Linked DNA regions of Cricetulus griseus. The protein of the gene in region 2 interacts with the protein of the main gene of each other region in a pairwise test. Links are inferred from orthologs where the notes say so. Each region holds a gene or a part of one and is shown on either strand. Other genes may lie near its edges. The genes, in order: Mrpl44, Setdb1 and Mbd1.

What was found.
Region 1: the proteins of Setdb1 (region 2) and Mrpl44 interact in a two-hybrid assay, tested with the Homo sapiens proteins (2 studies listed by BioGRID and IntAct). The link is inferred for Cricetulus griseus from reciprocal best matches to the Homo sapiens genes SETDB1 and MRPL44.
Region 3: the proteins of Setdb1 (region 2) and Mbd1 interact in binary tests that used the Homo sapiens proteins (3 or more experiments, as listed by UniProt). The link is inferred for Cricetulus griseus from reciprocal best matches to the Homo sapiens genes SETDB1 and MBD1.

What each region holds. Positions count from the first base shown.
Region 1 is NC_048595.1:432,480,817-432,486,701, reverse strand, and holds the start of Mrpl44 (39S ribosomal protein L44, mitochondrial), read right to left. Parts: upstream 3,559-5,885; 5' UTR 3,512-3,558; coding exon 3,333-3,511; coding exon of another isoform or gene 3,295-3,332; intron 1,989-3,294; coding exon 1,520-1,988; intron 513-1,519; coding exon 334-512; intron 1-333. UniProt on the Homo sapiens protein: Component of the 39S subunit of mitochondrial ribosome. May have a function in the assembly/stability of nascent mitochondrial polypeptides exiting the ribosome.
Region 2 is NW_023276806.1:61,140,552-61,145,779, forward strand, and holds part of Setdb1 (histone-lysine N-methyltransferase SETDB1), read left to right. Parts: intron 1-1,601; coding exon 1,602-1,753; intron 1,754-4,696; exon of another isoform or gene 4,697-4,717; intron 4,718-5,228. UniProt on the Homo sapiens protein: Histone methyltransferase that specifically trimethylates 'Lys-9' of histone H3. H3 'Lys-9' trimethylation represents a specific tag for epigenetic transcriptional repression by recruiting HP1 (CBX1, CBX3 and/or CBX5) proteins to methylated histones.
Region 3 is NC_048595.1:165,547,667-165,553,585, forward strand, and holds the start of Mbd1 (methyl-CpG-binding domain protein 1), read right to left. Parts: upstream 3,895-5,919; 5' UTR 3,623-3,894; intron 2,661-3,622; 5' UTR 2,636-2,660; coding exon 2,526-2,635; intron 1-2,525. UniProt on the Homo sapiens protein: Transcriptional repressor that binds CpG islands in promoters where the DNA is methylated at position 5 of cytosine within CpG dinucleotides. Binding is abolished by the presence of 7-mG that is produced by DNA damage by methylmethanesulfonate (MMS).

The DNA.
Region 1 (5,885 bases), on a different chromosome or scaffold from region 2:
TCAGAGACACAAAAATCTTTAAAAGTTACTATTAACAAAACACAGGTAACTTGTCTTCCTCTAATAGGAAAAAGCGGGGAGGGAATCCAGATATCAGACCCCACCCCTGACCCACCAGGGTCTCTGTCCTGGATGTAGACCAATCTGGCCTTGAACTCACAGAGATCTGCTTGCCTCTACCTCCTGAATGCTAGGCTAAGATTAAAGCATGCACCACCATGCCCAGCTCAGAGATACAATTTTAATGCTGTTAGAAGTAACATTTAAAGACTGGAAGTCTATCTTTAAGGCTTCCAATCAAAGTTATGAAGTGAAGAATAATTTTTTACTAACCAGTATAAACCAACAAAATACAAAGGCAAAGCAGTTGTGCTTCCAGACTGCCTGGTGAGTCTAGACTCGGGAGCCGAAATGTCTCTCTTCTTCAGTTCCTCTACGAGTAGTCCCATAGGATTTACAACAGTCCACATCTCAAAGAGCTCTTTCCCTGTCATTTGTGTAATTAAAAAGTCCTGTGCATAAAATGACCATTTATACATTTAAATTAGAACAAAGCATATTACGACCAGAATAAATGACCAACATACATGTTAAAACATCTAGCCTGAAAATCTGAAATGCTCCAAAATTTGAAACTTTTGCATCAAAGTGTTGCTTACAAAAGTTGAGATTTTTAGGACATTTTCAGTTTTAGGCTATGGAATTCCAGTTTGGGCTTCTCCCCCATGGGCTCACACATACAAGGCAAGTAAACACTCTATCAGAGTTAGTTATACCATAGGTTGTTCTTGTTTGTTTGTAGTTTTAACAACAACAACAAAAAATCACAGTTGAATTTAAAAAAACATTTCAATTTCAAATCCTAAGAAAACAATGTCAAGCAATATGACCAATATGACTTCAAAATTCAAAGTAGAAGACAGCATGTGGCTATCTGCCTCCTAAGGACACACCCCCACAGCCGCACCTTCCACCATGGCAGGCTACATTCCTTTTTAGACCCTGAGCTAAAATAAATCTTTCCCCTTAAAGCCAAACAAACAAAAAACAAAACTAGCCGGACGTTGGTGGCACACGCCTTTAATCCCAGCACTCGGGAGGCAGAGGCAGGCAGATCTCTGTGAGTTCGAGGCCAGCCTGGTCTCCAGAGCGAGTGCCAGGATAGGCTCCAAAGCTACACAGAGAAACCCTGTTTCGAAAAACAAACAAATAAACAAACAAACAAAAAAATTAGAAGCTGAAAATGACTTAAATCCTTCAGAACTCACAACCCAGCATTTAATATTTGCACTCCACTCTATCCGCAAAAGAAAAAAAAATTGAAATAACAACAAAATTACCAAAAAAAAAAAAAAAAAAAAAAAAAAGTTTAGGTCTTTGACAGTTTTTCTGGGGAGAAACAGTCTGTTCTATAAAGATATATCAAAGGTATGAACGAAAGACACTTTTCGTTTGTCCTCATCAAGTGTGTGTGTGTGTGTGTGTGTGTGTGTGAACAAGTAGAATTAGCGATACCCACCCTGATGAAAAGCGCAGCCCTTTCAGGTCCGCTGCTCTGTAGCAGGGCTCCAATCACTGCAAAGAAAGTTCGCCGCAATACAGGCAGGGGGACAGGGAATTCTGCACTAAGGGCCAACTGCTCCACAGCCAAGTTTCTAGCCACATGACAGACAACTGCCTCACCAGTAAGAAAGCTAACTAGACTTTCAATGCCTTCGGTGGGCAAATCTGGGAACTCATCTTCAAGAAACTGTGTGAGGCACTTATGTGAAAAAGACAGCCCTTGTTCAGATAGTTCTTGATTGTCCTTAAGATTCAGAAGAACGGCTTCTTTCTCAACCCCAAGTTTCTGACGTTTCGCCTCTTCACTTTTAATATAGCAGCTATTGACGAAAGCAGTTTTGAGAAGGTCCAAGGAAAAGGTTTCTTGTAACCGAGCCCCAAAGGCTTGTATTTCCGCATGGTAATCCCAGTTTGGCTTCTCGGAACTGAGGATGCAGAGACAGAGATGGTAAGGACAGGAGGACACCATGCACAACTGTGCTCTAGCTTTATTAGATAAAGGAAATTATACAAAGGGACAAAACGTAGTCTGCTTCTTTTAACGTCAAGTTCTAACAGTTTAAATACAAAAAAGCAACGCAGACGAATACTGGCGGTCTTTGTTACATTCTACACACATGGTTAGGATTAATTTTCCCTTTGGCTTAACTGCCACATTAAAGTGATTGCTGGCATTACATTAGACCATTGTTCAAGCTTTTCAATTTCTTCTTTCTGCCCTGACAATGAAATTATGCTTTACACCTAAGTATAAACAAATTCTAACTATATAGATTCAGACCAGAAACTAAAAGTATATTATATTTAGTTTATATCCTATTTACTTAAATTTCAGAAATGTCCACTTAAGCTAGTACCAGTATTATAAGCATGTTAAGCTGGGCAGTATGCAGAGGCAGGCGGATCTCTGTGAGTTCAAGACCAGCTTGGTCTGCAAGAGCTAGTTCCAGGGCAGCCTCCAAAGCCACAGAGAAACCCTGTCTCCAAAAACAAACAAACAAACAAACAAAAAATCCATAACCATGGTGAGGCTTGAGGCTGCTATAGTTTAGTGGTGGAGTGTTTGCCGAGCAGACACAAGGGGCTGTGTGTGCTCATACACTTTAAATACACAATTCAAGAATTAGTGTAAACATGATCAGTGTTCTCCTGGAGACCAAGATTAAAGTAGTAACCACAATTTCACATCAGGAGTAAGTTCCCCAAACACTAGAGACAGTTCCCACCTCTTTAGGTGTACTAACAATCTAACGGCGGTCAAGTGCCAGTCAGACTAAGAATGAAGTACATCTACGTGTACTTTTGTCCACAGCGACATCGTAAACAGAAGATGCAAGAAGCAGGCTCATAAGCAAGCATGGTGCACTTCGTAAGAGCGTATGGCTATTTTTCTGTGTCTGGCCAGCCAGCGACGAGATTAACTAGATCAAAAACCTAAACGTTTCCCCTCTCACTCCGGACAGTGGACACGTAGTTCAGTTCTACACAGAAGTGAACTTTTCTGCCCTGGTTTGCAGGACTGTGTGTAGAATGATGCTATCGCCCCTAAAGGCGCCCTAAGAATCTCAGGCCGGAGACTGAGCAGTCGCAAAGCTGGGCCAACCTCAAGCGATCACTCTCTAGCAGGCCCCATTTCTCTATTTGGGGTTACTGGGATTCTGCAGGGGACAGCCCGGCCAGTGTCGCCCTTCTCCTCTGCCCCAGGCCGCGCGCGGCCTCCCCACCACCTGCCTGCAGCTGCAGCCCAGTGTCCTCGGCCGCCCACCTACCGTCGCACGGGTGGCGGCGGGCAGCGCTGCAGCCGCCATCGCTCCAGCTCCTTCTGGAAGCGGAAGGCTGCCCGGAACCCCTTCTTCACTCCCCGAACCGGGGGGACCAGTGTGGGGGCTGCCGGAGCCAAGAGGCAGCGAGGGCCCCGCTGCAGCAGCCGCACCACAGCAGAAGCCATGGCTGGATCAAGGCAACGAAGGGCGGAAGGAAGGCAGCCGGACCGGTGTCGCCAGAACACAGTTCCCCAGGAACTGAGCGGCAAAGGGAGGACTCAGAATTAGGAAACACCCACCACAAGGGCGGGTCGGCGGCGGACTGCGTATTCTGCGCCTGCGCAAGTGCTCCTTCCTGCCCAGGATCTGAGTATGGGTGCAGAAATTGCTGGGAAAAGTTGCATTTCCCTGTCAGTCTCTATTGTGTTTATTTCCCACTGAAGTAAAACAAAAACTTGTTGAACTTTCAGTTTGAAGAACGCAGTTAGATTCTCAAGAGAGAAACACTTGTTTACATTCAGCCTTAGGTTGTAGAACATCAATCCTGCCACCACTGAGCAAATGTTTTCCTAAATTCGAGGTTTCACCTGACCCTTCTCCCAAAATAATCTCACTGCCAAAGGCCTTACGTTCAGAAATGTGTTTGACTTAACCAAAATTAAAGTTTGCATTTTATTTTTTATCCATTTTACATCTTACCGCATTCTCCAGTCTCCATTCTCCCAACCCCTCTCCCACATCTCCCCCTCCGAACCCCAATCACCTCCTCTTCGGTCTTCACCCAGGAAAAGTGCAAGTCTCCTATGAGTATCAATAAAACATGGCATATCAAATTGCCATAAGACTAGGCACCTCCACATGTATTGAGGCTGGGCAAGGCGACCCAGTATGCGTAGGGTCCCAAAAGCTGGTAAAAAGGTAGGTGACAAGCCCAATTCCCTATCTTAGGAGTCTCGTAAGAGGAAAAAGAAACAAAAATGTGACACTTATGCAGAGTGCCTAGGTCACTCTCAAGCCGGCTCCCAGATTGTCTGTTCAGTCTCTGTAGACATCTATGTGCCCAGATGAGTAATTGTGTGAGTCTTCCCGTGGTGCCCTCGACCAGTCTGGTTCCTACGCTCCTTTGTCCTCTTCCTCCGCAGAATTCCTGAACTCTGTCTAATGTTTGGCTGTGGGTCTCTGCATCTGCCTCCATCAGTTACTGGATGACACCTCTGTGATGACAGTTGTGCCAGGTACCAATCTGGTCACAGGAGACAGCCAGTTCAACCTAGGTTTGTATGTTATAACAACTACTTTTTTTTTTTTTAATCATGGGGAAAAGAAGTGTGTGTGTGTGTGTGTGTGTGTGTGTGTGTGTGTGTGTGTGTGTGTGTGTGTGTGTGTGTGTTGGGCGGGGCATCAAAATATTAACAGCAAAATTATTGCTTTAAAAAAAAATCTTCACTGGGGCTGGAGAGATGGCTCAGAGTTTAAGAGCACTGACTGCCCTTCCAGAGGTCCTGAGTTCAATTCCCAGCAACCACATGGTGGCTCACAACCATCCGTTATGAGATCTGGTGCCCTCTTCTGGTGTGCAGATATCCATGGAAGCAGAATGTTGTATACATAATAAATAAATAAAATCTTAAAGAAAAAAAAAAACTTCACTATCTGAAGCTTTCCTAACAGAATGTAAATGGAAGTCACAAAGGGAAGTGTCTCTGCTTTTAGTTTTGTGCTGAACATCTTGACCTTTAGAGGAACCTTTCTAGGGTTCTATATAAAGGCAGCAGTACCCTTGCAGTCACCCAGACTAGGCTCCTGAGTCTTTAATGGTGCCTGTTTTCACAAACTGTTTGTTCTGGTTACTAAATTACTTCTCAATTTATTTCCACATCAGGTACCTCCCTGCCCCTCTCTCTGATTATTGTAATTGACCTCCAAACAATACTCGCATCCGTCTTTTTGCCCAGACATCCATTTCATCTCCCTTGAAATACATGTTACTGCCTAGTTAGAAAGTCTTCAGCGCTAAGATTGTACAGCCCAGTCTGAGGTTCTTAGCTTAACACTTCAAGATGGAGAGAGAGTCTGAACAGCTTATTTAACCTATAAAGGGGCTTCCAATGGACATCCAGTTGAAGCAAATTCTCTAAAACAGATAAAAATAGTAGTAAAAGCATTGAAAATTCATTCATCATCAGATAAGTGGATTCACCAAATCATGGGGAATTGTTATTTCTGCAACGTTTCATTTATTATTGGGATAAATAACCTAAAGCTGGTCGATATAACTGATGAACCAGCCTGCCTCCATTTTGGGCTTGAAAGCCCTTTTAAAGTAAAGACAAACTAGGTTCCATCCTATTTAGGATTAAATCTCTATGTCTCCCTATTCCCTACTTACAACCTTAACTACAAATGGTTCTGTACTACTTGTTCCAGGAACCAGCAGCCATGCCTTTGTTTCAATTGGTTATAACCACCTTATGATAGCCACTTTGCAGCCACTTCTTTGTTTTAGGACTTGTTATTTTTATGTTCTGCGTCTGTAGTAACTCTGTCTATTTGCTCGCC
Region 2 (5,228 bases):
TTAGTATTGCACTCAGGTGAATTTTGGATTGTTGATAAACTAGTTGAAAACTGTTGCAACTACTTACTTGTTTTGGTTTTTGGTTTTGAGGGAAAGTTTCTCTATGTGTCTTTGGCTGTCCTGGAACTCTTTCTGTAGTTCAGGTTGGCCTCAGCAGAGGATCACTCGGAAAGATCCTCCTGCTTCTGCCTCTTGAGTACTAGGAGTAAAGGCATACATCACCATTGTCCAGCTTATGTATTTTCCTTTTTTTTTTTCCCCCTTGGATGTAGTGTCTCTTTACATGACTCTGGCTGCCTTGGAATTCACTATGTAGACTGACGGCCTGGAACTCATAGAGATCCCCCTGCCTTTGCCCCTGAAATTAAAGGTGAAGGCATGTGCCATCCTTCCTGTATAAATTAAGCCACTATTTAAAACTGAAAGGGGTAAACTAAACTAAAAGGCTTCTAATAATTTAAAAATAAAGGGACCAGACCCTCACTCAGCTCCCTGCTTTAGCAGCCATGACCGGGTACAGAAAAGACAGGTAGGCCTCTAACACAAAGAAACTCTAGATCCTCTGGCCTCCTGGAGCGTCGTGCCAAAACTAAAGACAAAGAAACTCCAGAACCCCCTCCCCCGCCCCAACTTTGTAGGTTCTTGGATCCTGGGAACTGTTTGGCCACAAAAGAAGCTCCAGGGGAGTCAGAAGCCTCCCCTGTAGTCTCCAGGATACAGTTCTAAAAACTATTGGTATCTATGTATGATAGGCCACCTGCAAGTAACAAGACAAAACCATAGAAACCACAGAATGTTCCCTCTCAGCACTGACCAATGAGAATACCTGGTACTCAGGTATTTTATGCCAAAATATGACTTTGAGAAATTTTCCTGATTGTTCCCACATGTCAACCAATCAGAAAGCAACCCGTGCCTACTGATGTAATTCTGTAACTTTTGTCTTTAAAACCTAGCAGTAGACAGGGAACTTCCCCTCTGGAGGCTGCTGCATCAGCTTGCTAGACAGGGTCCCTCCCGAGGTAGGATAGACAATTTAATAAACCTTGTGCATTTGCATCAGTGGGTCTGTCTTCCTGGTCTCCTTGGGGGCTCCTTGTGACTCAGGCTCAACAAAAACCTTATTCTTAGTTCCCAAATCCATATAGATAATTAGTACCAGGTCTTCTGACTTCCAGCAGGTAGAAAGATACAACTCTGCCAAATTGTGTCATGTAGAAACAAGAAACATTATGGAAAAAGCATTCTGAATAGATACTTTGAAAAATGAAGGGCAAACAGTCTATACATACATACATAACATACATACATATTTCTTGTTTTTTTTTTTTTTTTTTTTTTTTTTTTTTTTCTTGTTACTGTGTTGTTGTTGCTGTTTTTAAAGGTTTCTCACTTGTAGGCCTTGCTGGCCCTGAACTCACTGTATTGTTCAAGCTGACCTCAAACTTAGTCAGTTCTGGTACCTCAGGCTCCTAAGTACTAGGATCATAGGTGTGAGCTCCTAGGCTTGGTATTGCATAAATGTGTATAAATTCTAATGCTCTAATAATAACTTACTTTCCCCACTGGCTTTGATCTTTTCTAATGTGTTCCAATATTAGGGCAGTGATTAATTGTGAGTCTTTGGTGAAGGATTTCTACTCTAAGCTGGGACTGCAGTATCATGACAGTAGCTCCGAGGATGAAGCTTCCCAGCCTACAGAAATAATTGAGATTCCTGATGAAGATGATGATGTCCTCAGTATTGATTCAGGTAAATGATGAAGCTTTAGTTAGAAAATTCTTAGAATGGGCCAAGTGTGGTGGCATGCGCTTGTAGTCCCAGCACTGGAGGAGGCAGAGGCAGGCAGATGTCTTGAGTTCCAGAACAGCAGAGCTACGCAGAGAGAGCCTGTCTCAAAAAGACCACAAAAAGGAAGGAAGAAAGAAAGAAAGAAAAAAAGAAAGAAAGAAAGTTAGTTCTTAGAATGGAAGGTGAATTATTAGAAGATGAGCAGGTAGAAAATAAGGAAACATATTGTCAGCAATTCCTCATACCCACTTGCTGGGCTTATTTATTATAGAAAAAAGCAAGTTCCGTAAGTGCTATATCCTGATTGCTTCCTTTTCCCATTTCAGATGAGGTATATTTATTTTCTGTCTCCCCCCTCCCCCCATGTTTGTGTGTGATATACCTATCTATGTTAAATTTCTTTTTCAGTTACTATGATAAAATGTTCTGACAAAATCAGTTAAATGGGAGCTAGGTGTTGGTGGTGCATAACTTTAATCCCAACACTCGGGAGGCAGAGACAGGCGGATCTCTGAGTTCCAGGACAGGCTCCTACCCATTACAGAGAAACCCTTTCTTGAAAAACAAAACAAAAACAAACAACCAAAACTCAGTTAAAGGGAAAGGGACTTAGTCTGGTTCACAGGGATTCATAGTGGCAAGAGTCTGGAGCATCTGGTTCCATTGTATGTGAAGTCTGGAGACAGACTGCCTCATGCTGCCTGCTCAGCTAGCTCTCTTTCTCTCTTTATGAAGTCTAGGGAATGATAACCACCCACAGTGCGCAGGTCCTTCCACCTCTACACAATCAAAATAATTCTCCATTGGCTTTCACAGAGTTCCATTTCCCAAGTAATTTAATTTTGTCAATGTGACATTAATGGTCACAGTGTATGCGTACATATGCATGTTTTGGATGTGTGAGTACGTACATGTATGTAGGTGTGTATGCATGTAGAATTCAGAGGTTTACAGCTTTCTTCCTTCACTTTATTATGGAGGCAGAGTCTCATTGAACCTGGAGCTTGCTAATTCTAGCATGTATAGATAGCCAGCTTACAGTGTGTCTCTGCCTTGTGAGTCCTATGATTACAGGTTTAGGGTCTGAGGATCCAAACTCCAGGACTTAGGTCTTGTGATGCAAACACTGTATCCATTGAGCCATCTCTCTAGAATTTTTAAGATAGGATTTTACTGTAACTGTGTGATGTTGAACCTACCGTGTAGTGCATATTAGTCTTAAACTTGTAGCAGTACTGCTTTTTTTTTTTTTTTTTTTTTTTTTTAAAAACAGGGTTTCTCGGTTTCTCTGTAGCTTTGGAGCCTGTCCTGGATCTCGTTCTGTAGACCAAGATGGTCTGGAACTCACAGAGATCCGCCTGTTGTCTCTTCCTCCCGAGTGCTGGGATTAAAGATGTGAACCACAACTGCTTGGCAAAATACTTCTGTTTTCTAAATGCTGTGATTACTGACATAGGCCAACATACCAGATTTATGCTGTATCTTATGGTTTACCTTAGTAGGTAAATTCAGCATTTATTTGGATTCCCTAACAGTGCTTGCTTGTTTGCTTGTTTGGTTTTATTTGTTGTGGGTTTTCTCTTAAGGGTGGTGTGTCTGTTTTTTTTCCTTGTATGGATATTTTGCTTACAGGTATGTTTATCTACCATGTCTACTGTGTGTGTGCCCAGTATCCACAGAGGCCAGTAGAGGTCATAGGATCCCCTGAAACTGGAGTCTTGCCTGGTTGTGAGCTTCCTTGTGGGTGCTGGAACTCAACCTGTGTCCTCTGGAAAAGCAGCTAGTTCTTCCAATTGCTGAGCCATCTCCCCAGCCTTTTGTTGTTTTTTTAATCTTTTTAAATTTTATTTTATGTTCACTGATGTTTCCCCTACATGTTTGTCTTTGTGAGGGTGTCAGATATTGGAGTTACAGACAGTTTTGAGCTGCCATGTGGGTGCTGGTAATTGAACCCAGCTCATGGAAGAACAGCGGTGCTCCTAATCACTGAGACATCTCTCCAGCCCCTTTTTGTTGTTTTTTTTTTTTTTTTTTGAGATAATGTCACTATGTAACCCTGGCTGTTTTGGAACTTCCTACATTGACCAGACTGGCCACAAACTCAAAATGAAACACCTCTCTTTGCCTCCTGTGTGCTGGGATTTCTGTTATATGGTGTTACATTAAGGTATTATTCTCATAACATAAAACATACACATGTTAACTATGATTTGAGTTTTAGTACATTTATGTAGTAATCCAAGTTTAGCAAATTTGTATCATTTCAAAATACTCCTTTTGCCTATTTGCCTCAGTTTCCATGGTCACCCCTAACAACTACCCATCTTGGCTTCTCTGTATGTCTGTCACTTACAGATACATATAACTAGAATATATGTATATATCCTGTCATTGGGGTTGTTTGTTTGGTTTTTTTGTTTGTTTGTTTTGTTTTTTGTTTTTTTGAGACAGGGTTTCTCTGTGTAGCTTTGGAGCCTATCCTGGCACTTGCTCTGGAGACCAGGCTGGCCTTGAACTCACAGAGATACCCTGCCTCTGCCTCCCGAGTGCTGGGATTAAAGGAGTAGGCCACCAATACCCAGCTTTTTTTTTATGATCACTTAATTTTTTTCAATTGAAATCACTATTGTAAACAACATGCAAATAAAAATAATCATGCAGCTAGATTAACATAGCCCAGACCAAAAGTCTCTATTTGAACTTCTGTATAGTATAGAATAGTCATTCTGAAGCTATGGAGCTTCATTTTGGATTTTACACTTTGATTGTTACTTTCTTTTGAAACAGGGTCTCACAAGTAGCCCTGGCTGGCCTAGAAATCAGTATGTAGACAAAAGTGGCCTCAAACTTAGAAATTTGTCTACCTCTGCCTGCTGAATGCAGGAATTAAAGCGAAACAGGGTCTCACAAGTAGCCCTGGCTGGCCTAGAAATCAGTATGTAGACAAAAGTGGCCTCAAACTTAGAAATTTGTCTACCTCTGCCTGCTGAATGCAGGGATTAAAGCATGTGTGTCATGCCTGACCTCAGTTACACTTTTATATATTATACACACACACTGTCTCTCAGTTGTACTTTTGTATTCTTAAAACGCACATATACACACATACACACATACACACATACATACACACACACACACACACACACAGCAAAAACCAAAAAATCCTTAACAGAGTACAAAGTAGAAAAGGCGAGCCTTAGCCATTTGTGGCGGTGCACATCTTTCATTCCAGCATGGGGAAGCAGGAGGCTGAGGCAGGCACATCTCTACAAAGTACATTCCAGGACAGCCAGAGCTACACAGAAAGAAAAAGTTAGCCTTCTCTCCTCCTGTGTGCCTGTCAGGTGCATTCTATTCTTCCTCATCACCCAGTGTCTTCCTTTCTCCGTGGTGTGCTGCACCTCTATGTACATTTGTGTACATATATGTGTAT
Region 3 (5,919 bases), on a different chromosome or scaffold from region 2:
GAGTTTAAGGCCAGCCTGGTCTATACAATCAGTTCCAGTATACCCAGGGCTCAGTAGAGAGAGACCCTGCTCCAAAATAAATAATAATGAAGACACATAAACATACTTACAACATGTAACACCATTAGTGTTGAAAATATGAGTAAAAATCAACACAAAATAGTAAGTAAGTAAGATATAAATATGTATTTTGGTTTGTTTTGCTTTGAGATGGGGATATCATTTTAACCCAAAGGGCTTTGAAACTCATATGTAAAGAAAGATGAACTTCTGATCCTCCTGCTTCTACCACCCCAGTGCCAGTTTTTCAGAAGTGTATATAGTACTAGAAATCAAACTCAAGGCTCCAAGAACACTAGACAAGTACCCAGTACTCAAATGTTATGTATTACATACCAAATGCATGATCATAAAAGCTTATAACAGAACTATTTTTTAAAACATGAAAATGAAATTATATTCAATACAAAGTATAAGTAGCTAATGTTGAGGGATGACATTCTAGGTCTTTTCACTTCTGCAAGAATCATCAGAGGCATTCATTATCTCCTGAAACAAACTACCTTCTCATTGTTTGTAAAAACAGGTAACTTTTGAAAAGGTCCCCTCCCTTCCAGGGGAAAGGACAGCAATGCTTATCATACTGATACTTGATTTTCTAAACTCAAATACACAGGCTGCCTTTCCTATATACAGTGCAGCATATATGCTACTTAGCCCTCTTCATGTCATCCTATGGGGATTGGGATTCTAAGAAATGCCAAAAACAGGTATTTTAGGCTCTGATACTACTGTGAGAAATTTTTTTTATATCTGGCCCAGGAAGTATCACATTTCCTATCAGCATCCACAAAACTAACAAACCCATTTACTAGTCTGATAAATATGTATCTTTTGACAATTACTTGTAAGTTTTGAAATTTTTATACAATTTCATATGTGGAAAAAGTTAAAAACATAAAAGTTGAAAATATCTGAAATTTTATGATATTCTAGGGAAATGACAACTTAGATAAACAGGAAGGGTGTAGAAATGTTAGTAGCTGTTTCACGAATACAGAACACATGCTTATGTGTGGGAGCCCACAGTGACTCCATTCCATCTTAAGGTCAGAGAGTTCAAGCTTGTTCTTGCTCCTCAAGGCCAAATAATAGGATGTTTGACCAGAGGTGTGGTTACTAGATGTTTTGAGAATTAAGGAGGTGATTGTGCTTGTTTGTTTCTTGAAAGAAAGGCTTTTGCCCACCCCTTTTGTTTAGGGTATAAAAAAACTATGAGAAATAAATTCTGGGCTGCTGCAGCGTTCACTGAAAGCCCTCCTGATTCTATCCTTTCTTTTGTCTCTTTCTAAATCCTCACTCCTCTTTTCAGGTACTGTTTGACAGGTCGACTGGCCCCGACACTTAGGAACTTTAATGTTGATGTGTTTATAGTCAATTCTCATTATATGCAGTAATTATGTATTATGAGGTTCTACAAACCCTGAATTCATGCAGCAAGAACCATTGCTCCAGGAAATACACAGGTGGGTTCCAGCAAGCCTGTCACATTTTTAGCAGCTGATCAATGCATAGTCTTGTTTTATGTGATTTTGTTTAAAGACCTTGTAACATTTGTTTCTTACAAATGACTTCACTTCACGATCAGTTAATAATTAAGAGCCACACTGGCTTCAGAGAATGTTTCGTCTAGATTTGTCTGCCAGTGTTTTGGTCTTATTTTTCTGAAGACACCTGATATACAGAAGTACATCACAAGTTTAATGTTTTTATACCATATCACCTTCTGAAACATGCAAACCAGACAGAAGCAGCTAAAATGATTGACCTTTTCCTAATTCTGACCAATATATCTTTGGCTTTCTTCATAACAATGTTGTTCACTACTCTTTACTAGCCATCAGTTCATGAATCTACAAATTCAGCTACTTTCCCAACTTCTCTGAGCATCAAGTACTACAAATTTTAATTTTTGTTCTTTCCAGAGCAGCCTCACACACATCCAAGCAAGTTCCCTCTTCTCTTTTGGGATGTAACATTTCTGATTTTTAACACTGTAACTCAAGCAGATAGTACATGCAATTCATGGAAGCTTATCTGACAAGGAGAAAAAGCACATGACCTTCTTCTTGCACTCAGAACACTAGAAAACACTTTATTTGGGAGATTTTTAAACAACAAATTTGACAACAAAAATATGGCACTAAATAGACCACACAAAGGATGCTGGATTTGCAGTACAAAAGGGAGCAAAAAGTTCTTGTTCAACTTATTAGGAATGCAAGCACTAGACAATTCAAATTTTTGGCTGCCCCATTTGTGTCTGTGAATAATCACAATTGAATGTGCATATTGACTTTGGTCAAATAAGCTTTATTAAGGATGGATGATTATGAAAACACAAAACTTTTAATAAGGGACTGACTATGTGAACAATTTTAACTCCATGTATAGATTTAAACAAACCGGTTTAATTACTAACAAGGCCCAACTCTATTAAACACTGACCAAAACCCACCCATTACCTCAGATAATAGATGTCTGAGCGTCCACAAGAGGCCCCTGACTTTCGAAAGGCCTCACGTCGCTTCCAGCCAGGGCCCAGGGCTGGGCAGTCCTGCCAGTCCCCAGCCATAGGTACTTCGGAAATGAAGAAACACCTAGGAGGATTGGAAGTAGGTAAGGTATGAAAGAAATTAGTGGCACTCTGCTTCTAGGCCACAACGGTGTTGATGTTAATACTTGCCCCAGACATTCGCATGTATTTCCTTGCCATCCCTCTTCTTTATCATCCTCCAACATATATACTACACCCTCCAAACACATACACTACAATCTGGCATGAGGTCCCTAGTCTCTTGTCCTCACCTCCCAACTTCAGTTTAACTTAATTCACATTTTCCTTGACCTGAGTTTCCAATGTCTGTCAGTGTTCTGGCTGCATTTATATGCATGAGAGCGCCCAACTCTTCCATACACCAGTCCCCTTTCCTTTCATTCTTCAGCCTGCAATCTCCCCCTCAAGTCCAAAGCTCTCCCCCAAACTGATTTTCCCTCGTTTTTCTGGCCCACAATTCCTCTCCAGTCTCATCCCTCACCTCTACTGTCAGCGTTCGCTACTCTTACCCTTATCTTTGTCATTCTCCATTTCTCTTAATACCCTGTGAAAACTTCCTTGTTCCTTCACACAGTGACCTGCCTCTCAGTTTCTGTTGGTGTTCGGGGACAATAGCACCCGTGTCAGTCTTCTGACATTCCACTTTTCGTTCTCCACGAGTTTCTAGTCCCTCATAATTCTAACCCTGCTATTTCTCCTATGACCTGTCTCAGGCCCCGTCTTCTCACTATCAGCTTTGGGTTCCCATTTCTATCCCGTTAACATGGAGGCCTGACGTCTCTCTAAACGTTCTGATCTCTTCCATTCCTCTCCATTCTAGTCCCTCGACATTGTTGTCATCGCCCCGAACCAGTTTCCCCAGGATCTCTCTCAATACGCAGAAGACGCCATTCCTCCTCCCGGCCTCAGGGCCCTTCGCGTCTCCCCGCTAGCGTTCGGAGTCTCAACTCCTCCCCAGCTCCTCCTGAGCACTCTCCATTTCCATGCCCACGGCGGCTGTCTCACCAGCTGGACACGAGGCCCTTAGCTTCCACCGCGCTAGGCCCGTGGACCCATGGGGACGATCCCGCGCCCGCGCGCCCCGCCTGGTCCACTCTTCTTCCTCCTTCACCTCCACCGCAAGCTCCGCCAAAGCACTAGTTTTGTGGCCTGGGCTGCCGTTGGCTACTCCCGGAACCGGAAACTCACGGGCTGCCTTTTGGGCTCTGACCAGGACCCACACCTGCGTGCAGTCTGCACACGCCTGCCCTCAGTGGGGAGGCTCCAGCGCTTGCGTACTGCGTCTTTTCAGGGGCGCGCGGTTTTCCAGAGATCTGCTGCGCCTGCGCTCTGATAACATCCGCATCTCTCTCAGTTCCCTCTTTGCCTGTGCGCCTGCGCTTTCCCAAGTCAGTGCGCGCTTCTTGTCCCGAGCGTGCAGGCGACGTCTGGTCCCAACACAAGGGGAAGTGGACAGCCTGGCCAGCTTGCCTGCTCTAGTTTTTCGTCTCCAAAAATAGCAGGTTCACGATCACAGAGCTCGTTTGTCCTCTTCCTTCCTAGGAGACACCCCCCCACACACAGTTTGTTGCTGCGACTACGTTCTTCAGGATTGGTACTCACTACTTCCTGGAACCTCCAGGAGCACTGCGCATTCTGGCCAGGTTTCTTCCTTGGGAACCAGGGAGAAGGCGAGATGTGTAAGCAGTTAATGAAGGGACCAAATGAGGGCTTGACCATACCTCAAAGGCCAATGGGAGGGGATGGTGAACTGACCAAGGTAACCTGTTTTGCATTAAGCTAACTCCATTTTTGTGCTTCACCCAGTGGCTCCTTGGCCCTGCTGTGTTGGTATGGACAGGGATGGATTATGGCACTCGGGAGCCAAAGAATACTGAGTGTTACAGCTCAGATGGGAAGGTATTCTGGCACTCAGGAGTCACAGAATACTGAGTGTTACAGCTTGGATAGAAAGGTATCCTGGCTGGCACTCGGGAGCCAAGAAATACCACGGTCACAGTACGCATAGCAGCTTACAGCTTTGCTTCAGTGAAAGGCTTCCCTGGTGTATCAGCTCTGCTCCTGCAGGAGCGGGCTTCCTGGCAAAGTTGTTACGATTCTGCCTCACCCCCCTCCCCCTGCCCCAAAGAGCCGAAGTTCCTCTCTACCCAGGGTCCTCTCTGGTCTCACCCAAACCTCATTCAAGAGATTTATTGGGAGAGAAGGATCCAGGAAAGTGGCTGCTCTATGTCAGGATGGCAGAGTACAGCTGGGCAGCCTGAACAACCACAAGCTGAACAGACACAGAGTTTATATAGGGATTTTTATGGGGTGGAGTTTTTCCAGGGTGAGGTTTGGTCAGATTTCAATCCCTGAGTTTAGGATGGCTAGATCTGCTCCAGGATTGGTTAGTTTTCTGCACAGGTTTAGGGTCAGATTTGGCTCTGGTTTCAGGGCCAAAGTATGTTTCTTTCACTGGTCCTTTTTAGCCTTTTGCTTCTAGTTTTAGGGCCAGGGTGTATTTCTTTCACTGGCTCTGACTCCAGAGACAAAGTGTGTTTCTTTGGCACTGGTTTTCAGGGTCAGGGTGCATTTCTTTGGTTCTAGTTGCACAACCAGTATTCTTCAAAGCAGTTAGGCAAGGCATTATTCAATAACTGATATGCAGAGATTAAGGTTTGAAACAAGAGATAGTATGACGAGATGAGATCAGTTTTGTCAAAAAAGGGGGGAATGAAGAGGGGCTTCTTTGGAAGGGCTTAGTCACAGGAGAGCCAATAGCAGGAGTTTTATCCAATCTGTATGTAGTTCTTGGGAAAGTTTGATAAGAATATTTTTGAGAGAATGATTAGTTTGTTCAGCTTTGCCTGAAGACTGGGGATGGTAGGAGATATGGGTTGTTAAGGGCTTTGTCCAAAGTTTTTAGATTAGAAAGGTAAATTCAGGCTCATCTGATTGAAGGGAGGTTGGAACTCCAAAAACGGAGGATGATCTCCCTAAAAAGGAGATCAGAAACTGTTTGTGATCTTTTATTAGTGATGAGAAAAACTTCTAGCCATCCTGAGAAGGTATCTACAAGGAAAAAAGGTATCTGAAGCTTTAAACTGTAGGCATGTGGGAGAAGTCGAGTTGAGCTGCCAGTCTGATCCAGACAGGGATCCCCTGGCTTGATGAGTGGGGAAAGGGAGACTCTGGTGCCTGGAGGTAGGCTTAGACGTTTTGCAAACTTTTCAAGAAATAGTGATAGTCTTTAAATGGGATAGATCCTCAGAGGTAGACTATAAATAGGTTTCAGTAAAGTGGGACAAAGCCTGACTCTTATG